2 linked regions of the Caenorhabditis elegans genome follow. The protein of the gene in region 1 interacts with the protein of each later gene in a pairwise test. Each region holds a gene or a part of one and is shown on either strand. Other genes may lie near its edges.

The links. Proteins that work in one complex are often made in the same cells at the same time.
Region 2: the proteins of fkh-6 (region 1) and lim-7 interact in a two-hybrid assay, tested with the Caenorhabditis elegans proteins (one large-scale study listed by BioGRID).

The regions. Positions count from the first base shown.
Region 1 is NC_003280.10:4,379,063-4,385,004, reverse strand, and holds fkh-6 (Forkhead transcription factor fkh-6), read left to right. Parts: upstream 1-1,598; 5' UTR 1,599-1,716; coding exon 1,717-1,754; intron 1,755-1,914; coding exon 1,915-2,023; intron 2,024-3,378; coding exon 3,379-3,590; intron 3,591-3,663; coding exon 3,664-3,817; intron 3,818-4,474; coding exon 4,475-4,780; intron 4,781-4,969; coding exon 4,970-5,122; 3' UTR 5,123-5,127; coding exon of another isoform or gene 5,128-5,172; 3' UTR 5,173-5,218; coding exon of another isoform or gene 5,219-5,389; 3' UTR 5,390-5,420; downstream 5,421-5,942. Other genes in the region: B0286.1 (uncharacterized protein), read right to left, coding at 24-186, 1,323-1,382, 5,128-5,172, 5,219-5,389, 5,434-5,588. UniProt on the Caenorhabditis elegans protein: Probable transcription factor. Binds to the DNA sequence motif 5'-[TA]TGTT[TG]T[TG][ATG]TT-3'.
Region 2 is NC_003279.8:5,714,742-5,719,614, forward strand, and holds the start of lim-7 (LIM/homeobox protein lim-7), read left to right. Parts: upstream 1-1,832; 5' UTR 1,833-1,934; coding exon 1,935-2,070; intron 2,071-3,783; coding exon 3,784-3,831; intron 3,832-3,877; coding exon 3,878-3,942; intron 3,943-4,631; exon of another isoform or gene 4,632-4,781; intron 4,782-4,873. UniProt on the Caenorhabditis elegans protein: Probable DNA-binding transcriptional activator.

The DNA of each region.
Region 1 (5,942 bases):
TAAATTTCCAGTCAAAATGTCACCTTTATTATCGCGATCCTGTGGATGCTTGTCCATTTGTTCTCTCTCCTCCAACTTTTTCACTTTTGCCTCTTCCAGTGTCTGCACCAATTCTCGTCCCAATAACAACTTTTGCGGGATGTGATGTTGAATGTTACCTCGATCGAAGAACAATGGTTCATCAGCCTGAAAATGGAGTAGTTAGTTGACCCTTATGACGGCTACTTTTTTCTCTCTTGTAGACTCATGTGAAAAGAAATACAGGGAGTAAGTAAAAATAGAAACAAGCAAGACCTTTGATCAAAAAGTTTGAAACAATTTGTTGATAAGAGAAAGTCAGACAGATAAGCAAAACAGTGGCAAATATTCAGGTGATTTATTTAAAGTGATATGTTTTCGTTTCAAATGGGAAAATATCTTGTGATTCTGAAACTACACAGAGAAAAATTGAAAGTGTGAAAAAATAGAACTATCTATGAAAAATATCCAATTTTGGAAATTGTTTGAATATTTGAAATTCTGATTATGTGGTGAATTATTTTAAACAACCATTTTTAAAATCACTTTCTTGAGGGAAATTATTATTGATAAAAATCTTTTTTTTTTCGAAAAAATCGAAAATTTTGCAATCAAAAATTTTCAAGTTTTCTAAATTTGTTTCTAAATTTTTCTGATGCTTTGGAAAATGGCTAGTTTTGTCTGAATTGACCGTTTTAGCATTAAAACAAATATTTCAAATTATTTTGGTCGATCCAGGCACTTCTATTCACTTTTCGAGGCTACAGAAAACAATGCCCAAAAATGTGGCTGGAAATTTAAAAAGTTAAAAAAATCCAGTTTTTAATGAAATTAAATTTAAATTAAAAAAAAAACGATACTTGTGGTTTATAATCATTAATTTTAAAACAAATTTGTTTTTCAGAAGTTTGAAAAAAAAAATTGGAAATCATTTTGATCTACTATTTTGCCAATTTTCCCTATTAGCCTTGCGCCGACATTGCTCCACTTTGACGACTTATGTCTTGGTTCACTTAGATTTTAACAAAAAATGATAAACTAATAAAATGTAGAGAATTATTTTGGGAGTACTTTGCCAGTTAATAATTTTTGATAAAATCAAAAAGAGCTGAGATATACGCTGTCAAAGTAAAGGAAAGTGCCTGGAAGTCTAGTAGAAAAAATACAATGAATGAAAGGTGACTAAAAGTCGCTGGAAAGTCAAAAAATATGGTCAAGTTAAGGATTAAAAAATCGCAAAATTTTCAGAATAATTCCAGATTACTGTAACGGGAGTACTGTGTACAACAAAAAGAAGCACAAACCTTCTGATTCCTGCTGAAATGTGCCGTCTCATTTTGCGAGTAATGCTCGATGGCTCCTCCCTGTAAAAAGTTGTGTGTAATTTTGTGTTGTAATACAAATATTCTCCAATCGTCGTCGTGTTCTCCCTTTCGATTTTTCGTTTATTTACAAAATATAAAAAGTAAGAGATGATCAGATTGGATGTTTCTGTTTCCCTTTTACCAGTGAATCAGCACCAGAAAATGTCAGGAGCACACAGGGGGGAGAAGGAGACAGTGTGCACAATCTTCTTCCATTTCTTTCCCTCCACCCACACCTCCGTCTTCACAGTTCCGAGACCCCGCCCTCACTCTTAGCTTCTGCATAATCCGTTGTCTCATTTGACACCCCCTACCATAAAAAAATACAATAATCATGACTCGCCATCAAACACATCTTCCATTTCATATTGTGTAAGTTATGTATTTATTTATTTTATTTATTTATTATTGTTTTTAGAGAGGGAGAGAGAGAGGGGAAACATATTTTCTTTTTCTTCTTCTCTAAATACAAAATCCCCGTTGCAAAATTCTGTTAGAGGCAAAGTTTTGAAAATAAAAGAGCTCTTTCCAGTCAAGAGGGAAATTCGATTGACAAGCCGCCATACAGTTACGTTGCACTTATTGCAATGGCAATCGATGCTTCGCCGGATAAGAGAATGACGTTGAATCAGATTTACAAGGTAACGGGAAGCTTTTCGATAACGTTTTTTTGGTATAGCGGTTTTGGAGGAATTATCATGAAAATTTTGCTAAAACTAAATACTTTTTTGCGGAAAAATACCATTTTAAAAACCCAAAACTGGTGCGGCAATTCAAATTTTGAAGAATTTTTGAGCAAATTTTTCACAATGTTAGCGGAATATTCCAGTTTTTTTTGGACGTCATATTGAGTATTAAAATATGTGCTAGAACTTTCAGTTATTCCTGCAAAAATAGATCTACGAAATTCAATTCCAAAACTTTAAAAATTACTTTTTTTCTGAGAATTTTTATCTCACTTTACACTAACTTCGAGGCTGCTGAAATTGTTCCAAATCCGATTTTTATCTTCTTTTAAGTTTTTCAGGTATAGGCAAACGTTTGAAAGATTTTTTTGTAAATTTCAATTATTTGAAAACTTGAATCATCGGAGTCTATTTAGTCATATAAAACTGATCAAGCCGAGCCATTTAATGAAACATTTTCTAGTTCAAAATGCTCCTTTGAAGCGAAAAATTTGGCGATCATCTTGTAATGACATATACTTCATTTAAAAATCCAGAAAAATATTCGTCACTTCTCCGGAGATTCTCCCTATATTTTTTGTACTTTAAATTGTTTTGAAATTACTAGAAAAGCCTCAAAATATCTGTTATTTTGGAGATTTTCTAACACGATTATATAGCAGTAAAATTAATCTGCTCCTTATTGCTACAAAAAAAACGAAATTCGAAAAAAAGTTCTTAAGGTTCTACATCATCTTTCCCATATCACATTTTCGTACAGTAAGTTTCATACATTGATATTTTTGTTGTGATATTCAGTTGGTTGCTTTTTTTTTCCACCTAGCCCTGCCCTACCGTAACCCTGTCACAAGTGATCTAGTAATGTTCAGTTCAATCTAACTCTGGAAAACCCAACTCACTAGCCAGCACATCTACCGTAACCCACCACTTCCACTCTTCCGTTTTGACTCATCAACCTTAATAGATCTGACTAATTTGGTGTGGGGGGCACCCTGTGCCTCTCCCATAACATTTACACAGTGAACAACTTTTCCTCTCTCCTACAAGTCAATAACAATGTCAATATATATATATATAGACCTTCTTCGTGTCAAGACCCAAAAACCTTAGTATTCAACTTTGACAGTTAATATCTCAGCTCTCGTTTGTCCTAAACAAAAATTGTCTACCAGCCAAATATTTTTTGGTTATTTTTCTATAGGTTTGTAGTTGATCATTCATTGATATCTTTATTATGAACCGAGATATAACCTTTCAAAGTATGTTAGTTTCCTATCAGGCGCAAACAAAACCGATGATGTGTGTTTCAGTTCATCGAGGCCAAATTCCCATATTACCGTGACGCGGACGCGAAACGAAAACAGGGATGGCAGAACAGTATTCGACACAATCTGTCACTCAACGACTGCTTTGTCAAAAAAGCACGAGACGGACAAAGCTGCGCGAACGACAGAAAGGGCAACTATTGGCAAATGGTGGCGGACAATGCGCCTCAGTTTGACAACGGCAACTTTAAGAGAAGGTATGGATAGTGACAAGAGGATTATTATTATTATACACTCGTGAAAAATGACTATTTGTTCATGTATTTACAGACGTGTCAAAAGACTTGGAATCGGAAAAATGGGTTATGCGAATACGACGGAAACTACTGAAACAGGGACCATTCTACAGCAACAGCTTCCGTTTTTCAACGGGTTGAAGTGGCCACAGAATATTCAAACTATGGATCCTTTCCAGTTTTTTAAGGTAAATAATTGCCCAGTGAAGATTTTCGGGAATCTGAACGCTAACGCCCCATGAAAAATTCGAACAGGCAACAAATTTACGAAATTGTACTAAAAATATTGGTGAATCTGTAGTAAGCTTATCGTTTAGCCCCAGAGTCCTTACTAGTTAGTTGTGAAATTTTCGTTACAACTCTTATAAAATGAAGCAAAGTTGCTTTATATTCCCAATTAAAAATAATTTTATTAATAATTGTTTTTCCAAAAAAAACTTTCATGAAAATACTCAAAACTCCGAGGAAACTGTGCCAATCTCAAAAAGATCTTAAAGAAATTAGCGAACTGTGCAAATATTTCACAAAGACAACTATGCCTGCTTGTAAATTTTAGATCATAGGCAGGCATAGGCAGAAAAATATAAAGTAGGTAAGTACGCCTGAAGGCGTGCCTGCCTACCAAAAAAGCCCAAAAAGTGGACTCCATGCCTTGGTCTACTTTGACAGCTTATATCTTGACTCCCTTTGTTGTTATCAAAAATTGTCAGTTGACAAAATATGGGCAAAATATTTCTCTACATTTAAATAATGACAATTATTTGATAAAATTTCAGGCAACCATGATATAAGCGGTCAAAATAGAGCACAATCGGGGTGCAGATCTAACACTTTCAATTTTTCAGTTCCAATACCCCAACTCCATCACTGATAGTGCCAACACCTCCCAAATCAACAACTCCTCTTCCTCATCGTCATCATTTGATACCTCAATTTACACAAGCGCCTTCCCAATTCCAACTTCTCATTTCGACACAAATCTAGTGGCTCCATCTCAACCACCACCAGTTGTGTCTGATGTAGAAGTTGTACCATCGGATACTGTCAAAGAGGAGGTTCTAGTTGATATGAAGCCATTGATCCCTGGGATTTCAAGTACAACATTCTTGACAAGTCTTCAGATGACTGATCCGAGGAGTATCGAGCAACAGGTTAGTTGAAATTTTCAAAAAATGTTTTAAATAAAGTTTATGCTACTTTTTTTTTAACTCTTGCAGCTTAATGGAGAAATTTTGAAGTCGGTAAAAATTATGCTATCTCCACTTTTTCTCCTATCTCCACTTTTTCTAAATTTTAGAATTTTCATAACTAATCAAAAACCCTCCTAAAACTTATTCCAGCAACTGCTCTCCACTGCAAGCAACATGTACCCAAACGCCTTCATGCCCCCTTATACCAATTGGTCCTGTCAACCAACAACCACTTTCACGGGATTATCATTTGATGACCCATCTCTCTATGGTTATGGACAACAATTCCCAGCTTCATCTTAACTTACCCCTGTCAACTGCCTGATCCTCGTTTCGCACTGTTTCAGTTCCTCCTGGAATAAATTTTTTGAAATATTTTGGTAATTAATTTCAGATTACCTTCAAGCTAGAATTTTCATCCGAATAATTATTCTTCACCTTCTCCTCCAAACCTTCAATTTTCTCTTTGAGACCCGCAATTTCTTGTTCATATTTTTCGATTGTTTTCTTCGAATTTTCATCGTTTTTATTGTTTTCTTTTTTTTGCTCTTTTGGCTCTTCTTTTAAAGTCTATAAAACATGAATTATGGTTTTAAAAAAATTTCAAATCTTACCTGACAATCCGTCAACTCCTTCTGGCACGTTTCTTGTTTTGTCTTCAACCCGTAAATTTCTGACTCTTTTAATTTAATTTTGCTTAAAAATTTGGTTGATTCGGCGTGGCGGGATTGTAATTCAGCCTCGATCTTCTTTTTGTGCAGCCAGATTACTGAAAGAAAAAAACAGTGATTTGACTTTTAAAGTGTTTTTTTTTCAGTTTTTTTTTAATGGCAGATCTACTCAATTTGGAGGGTTTTTCGAAGAAAAAAAATCACCGATATCAATTTTATTTATAAACTTAAGTTTATAGTACTTATTATTTCAAAAACTAATATTAATCGGAATTTAAAATTTACCAAATAAAAGTTGGCAAGAAAATCTAAGTCTCTGAGAACAAAATTTTGGTAAAATTTTGTCCAAAAAATTTGTAGTCTAAATTTGTAGTAAGTTCAAATTTTTTGAGATCAAACTGTGACCAATAATTAATTTTTTTCGAGAAAATTTTTCTGCGAGAAATTTAAAA
Region 2 (4,873 bases), on another chromosome or scaffold:
AAGATGACCACGCGTAGAATCAATATTTAGGTGAGACTGTGCGTGATCTGAACAGGAAATCATTGACTTTTGGAGAATAACGTTTTTTTCTTCAATATGCATATATCTTTTTTGTAAGTCATAGTTATCGGTTTTCTCTTTTTTTTTTAGCGAAAATTGATTTCTAGCTTTTCTCGAAGTGTTCAAAAAACTGCAAAACTTACTTTCGTACAAAATGTAGAAATTTTCGAGATTAAAAAATTTAAATTACAAAATTTTGTATTTCGGTCTTTCTATTTCTTCGTGTTTTGGAAAAATATTTTTTTAAATGGAATACGATAAACTATGAAATATAACTTGTAAAGTTTGTTTTCTCTTACACCACAATAGTTGAAAAATGGCTGTAAATTTTTCACATTTCTCCCCGGTTCTAAAAATTTTCCAATATTCTGGATTAATCCAGCATCCATTTAATCATCTTATCTTTCAAATCCTTATCAATCGATGGAATCTACAGTATCCTCGAATACTTGTCCGTTATCACCTTCTCTCGCATGCATGTTCATCTTTTCATTCGTTATTTCACACCTTTTGAGGTATACAGGAAGTGGGGGAATCAGTTAAAACATACATATGTCCACGTGTCGGCTAATTTAAGAGTGCAACTCTATAGAAACTGCAAATTCACTTTTCGTACAATTTTTTTGACTAAAAGAATGAAGAGTTTGCAATACTAACGAAGAAGTGCAATACTATTAGGGACGCAAGACTAATTGGGACTTCAAGTCTATATTTCAATCGATATGAACTCTAAGAGAGACTCAAAAATAAAATAAAATAAAACATATTTCTAGTTTCTAGATAGTTTTCAATAAGGAAAATATGGCGTCCACCAGCCAAAGGAAGAATGAGGGTCAGGTTGAATCCGGATAAGAAGATATTTCCAGGGATAATCTTGTTGAATTCTCATGTTTTCTGATTTCAATTTTTTTTCTCAATTTTTTAAAATATTCATCAATGAACATAATACTTTAAACCTCTGAGAGAACCAGTCAGTTTCTGATTTAAATATCAGAAAAATGATTGTGTTAAAGATCGAAGCAAACATACCACATTTTTTCAGTATTGCAGCCATTTTTTGGAAAAGTTACATGAATAATTTATAGACTCTGAAGATGTTCTACACTTTGTGAGTTTATTGTCTTAAACTGTAGTACGCGGAGATATTAGTATGGAAGCTAAAGGAAACTAGAAAAACATTTGAAAATGTACGAGAAAATTTGACTAAAATATAGGATGGATTTTGAACTCTAAAATCTAGGGTTATGAAATTTAAACGTCCTAAGCGATTTGTAATTTAATTTTGAAACTTTAATTGTGAAACTAAAGTGAGGTCAAATTTCTCACATTACTTTCCTTAATTCTTAATTTTTTCAGGAGCAGACAATTTTGTTCAAAAATTTCGAAATTTTCTAAATGTTTAAATATAATTTTTTGCTCATTACTTCAATCTTGATGAGTAATTTCATAGAATATATTTTGCCAGTAACATTTAACTGTCTCAAAAATTTTTTTGGCATTTGAAATGTCATTTTTTAAACTTTTTCATGATCCAAATAGTTCACACAAAACTGCTTTAATCCAATTAATTACAAATAAAAGAAATATAGGTTACCATATCCACAAAATCAGGATGTTCACACTCTTATTCTATCACTTGGGTGTTCACATCCGGCTGGTTTTCTTCTCACTTCTTTCGTTCTCCTCACTTAGTAGGTGGAGTCTACCAACCAGTCGCTCGTCGTCCGCCCGCTCAATGACTCCGCCCACTTTCTTGTCTCTCCGTGGGTCCCAGGGCTCTCGGTTCTCTTTTCGTTTGTGACACTTCCAACTGTCCTATCTGTGTTTGTGTGTATCTAGTAATCAATCACAAACTTCTATATCTGTTCAACGGCATGAACATCTGTATGCGAAATGGTTATGAGCAATTCTCACTGACATCTCCAGGAACATCGGATCTCGAAATTGGTGGATCATTTTGGAAAGACGAACCGGATACCAAGTACTTGTGCCTTGATTCTCCTGTTGAACGTGAGTGTTTTTTTTTTAATTTGAAAATGTTAAGCGTGGGCCAAAATATTTCAAAGAATTTACATCCGGAAAAAATTTTTTTGTAAATTTTCTGAAAATCACAGCTTAAAAAATTCAAAACAAAAGTTAAGTTAGATTCATAAAATTTCCATTTGAAAAGACATCTAACAGATCTAAGAATACAACACCTTCTCTCAAACTCCACTTAATCTTGAAAAATAAATCTTAAAATGTCAAAATCCCTGCAATAACAAAATCGAAAGAAGGAGAGGGAGAAAATCTGGAAAAAAAGATTATTCGCACTTCTAAGCCTTAAATATCCGTCTATTTTCCCCTGAATTTTGCAACTTTTTTATCTGAAGCTCTGGTGCTCTTCCGATTCTTTTCCCATACTACTTATAGGGATGAGCCAATGAATAAATGAGCAAAGTTCCGAAAGGTGTCTGAACTTAATGGGCTCACTTCCAAAAAATTTTGAAGTCATATAACATTACTAAATTTCTTGGTAGAAAAAACCCATTTGAGCTACACATTTTTCCATGACACCTTGCTTATTCACCAGTTTGGCAAACAAAAGAATCGGGGGGTCTCACACAAAAATATATTTTGTTGATTAAACGATATGATGGGGGTGGGGAACAAATGGGAGGCTCCATCAAAAAGCTCTTAGTTCAATCAAGTTCTGAAAGTTTAAAAGAAAACAAAAATCGCTATTTCTTTCATTCCATTTGTCCCCCTCCTCTTTTACTTTTTTCTTTTCCACCTTCTTCTTGTTGTCTTAAAAACGCATAACTTCATCTGGTCCTTCGATGAAGATCTAAGCTATAATCGCCTTATGCACATCACATGTACATATCCGGTTTGAAGATTTCAACAACCCAACCAGATTTTCTCGATTTTCTTGGCCTCGAAAACTTAACCTAGAAAGTTTTCAAATAAATATATGATATTAATAAAAATTAACTTTTCACAGTTTTGTATTCCGAAAGTTTTTAAAACCTAATTTTCTTCAAAAAAAGTTTTTCTCTAGGTCAATTTTCAATTCTAATTTCAAATCGCAACACTCTCCTCCCAAATAAGTAGTTATTTGCCGCCGCTCCGATTATGATTACTGTAGTGGTGGGGTGTTTATAATTGCTTATATTAAGTAAACTTTCCTTCTTTTTTTGGGATTGTTACTTCTTGTTTGTCAACGGCCAGTTTACTTCCTAAAATAAGATGTCAAATGTTGAACAAGGGGATTATCAATAGTTTGAAATGACTACCTTTAGTTGTTATAGTTTTAAAATTAGAACATTTTAATATGTTATTTTTTAAACAGTAGGAAGCTGTCGACTTTAAATTCTTCCGAATAAAAACGGAGCTCAATAAAATTAATGACGTGGCAAAACAGTGCTGACAGAAGAGGGCAAAAATAAAATAAAAAACGTTTTGGCAGCTACTAACATCCCCAAACACCCCACAAATGAGCTATTTTATGAGTTTTGTTAGGCTCTCCCTGCCTTTCTTCACTTTTTTCTTGAAGCCATGAACCCCTTCATGACACCTAACTGGGTATCATTATCCATTTGTGCGCGTGGCCCTCCCCTCTTTCTATTACTTTTCCCTAAATAAAGCTTGAGCTCCCCTCCTCTCACAAACCCTGTAATCTTCAAATCAAAGTCGACGGGTAATTTGGGTTAGAGTAAAGTTAATCGAGCTTTCATTTTTCAGAACGTCAGCACCAACCACCGATGGCAGTTTGTGCCGGCTGTCGATTGGGTAAGCTCTTTCGGGGACTAAATTCCAAAAAATTATTTATTTTCAGAAATATCAGATCGGTACTTCCTCAGGGTCAATCCCAATCTGGAATTTCACGCTCAATGTCTAAAAGTGAGTTTTTGAACATTTTTATAACTGAAAAATGGTTTATAAGTATCTCGTCTCACTTTGAAGGATTTTATCTCAGTTTGTTTTGAATATATCAAAAATAATAAAAATACACAACCTTTTCGATAGAACAAACAACAACCGAGATACTAATTGAGTGCAGTGTAGTCTCATGGTTTTTTTTCTAAACAACAATTTCGAAAATTACACGGGGGTGGATTTTCACAAGAAAACCTAATTCATTCCAAATGATCTCATTCAAAAATGTATTGCACAATGAGCCCCTCCAACTGTCTTAATACCTTAAAGCTACAAAAGTCCAGTAAAGAGAGAATTTACACGCATGACTTGACACATTGTTTGTTCTTTTATTCAACATTTTGATGTATGTTTCTATATGTATGTAGGATTTCCATTTTGCATATTATTCAGAATTCCAACCTTTTCCCCTTTTCTCTTTTCTGCTCCTTTTGAATTATTCACCAATTTGATACCTTTATTCCGGGTCATTGTACTTTTTGCTCTTGCCCCACGACTTTTAAGCAAAGGACAAAAAGTGAATATTATACAAAAAAGGGAAGGGGGAGGAGAAAGGGCAATGATGATGAAATGAAATGAGACAAAGACGGAAAAAAAGAAAAGAAAAAAATCAAAACGTGTTGACCAGGAAGCATAAAAAGGGGGAGAAGCACGGAAGAGACGGATCAAATTACTGCGCAAATTCGCGCATTTTGTTGATTTTTTGAGTGTGAAGATTGGTGTATACAACTCACTGGGACAGAGGGACCCTTGCGTGACCAGTCAAGGTGGCAACCATCTGTCGTGTTGGAATAGGCGATGAATACCTAAACAGTAGTAGAATAGATCACGCTATTCAGTTAACTATTTACCTGTTTACCGCATAGTAACCCAGTTGTGGAATTTTGACATTGTC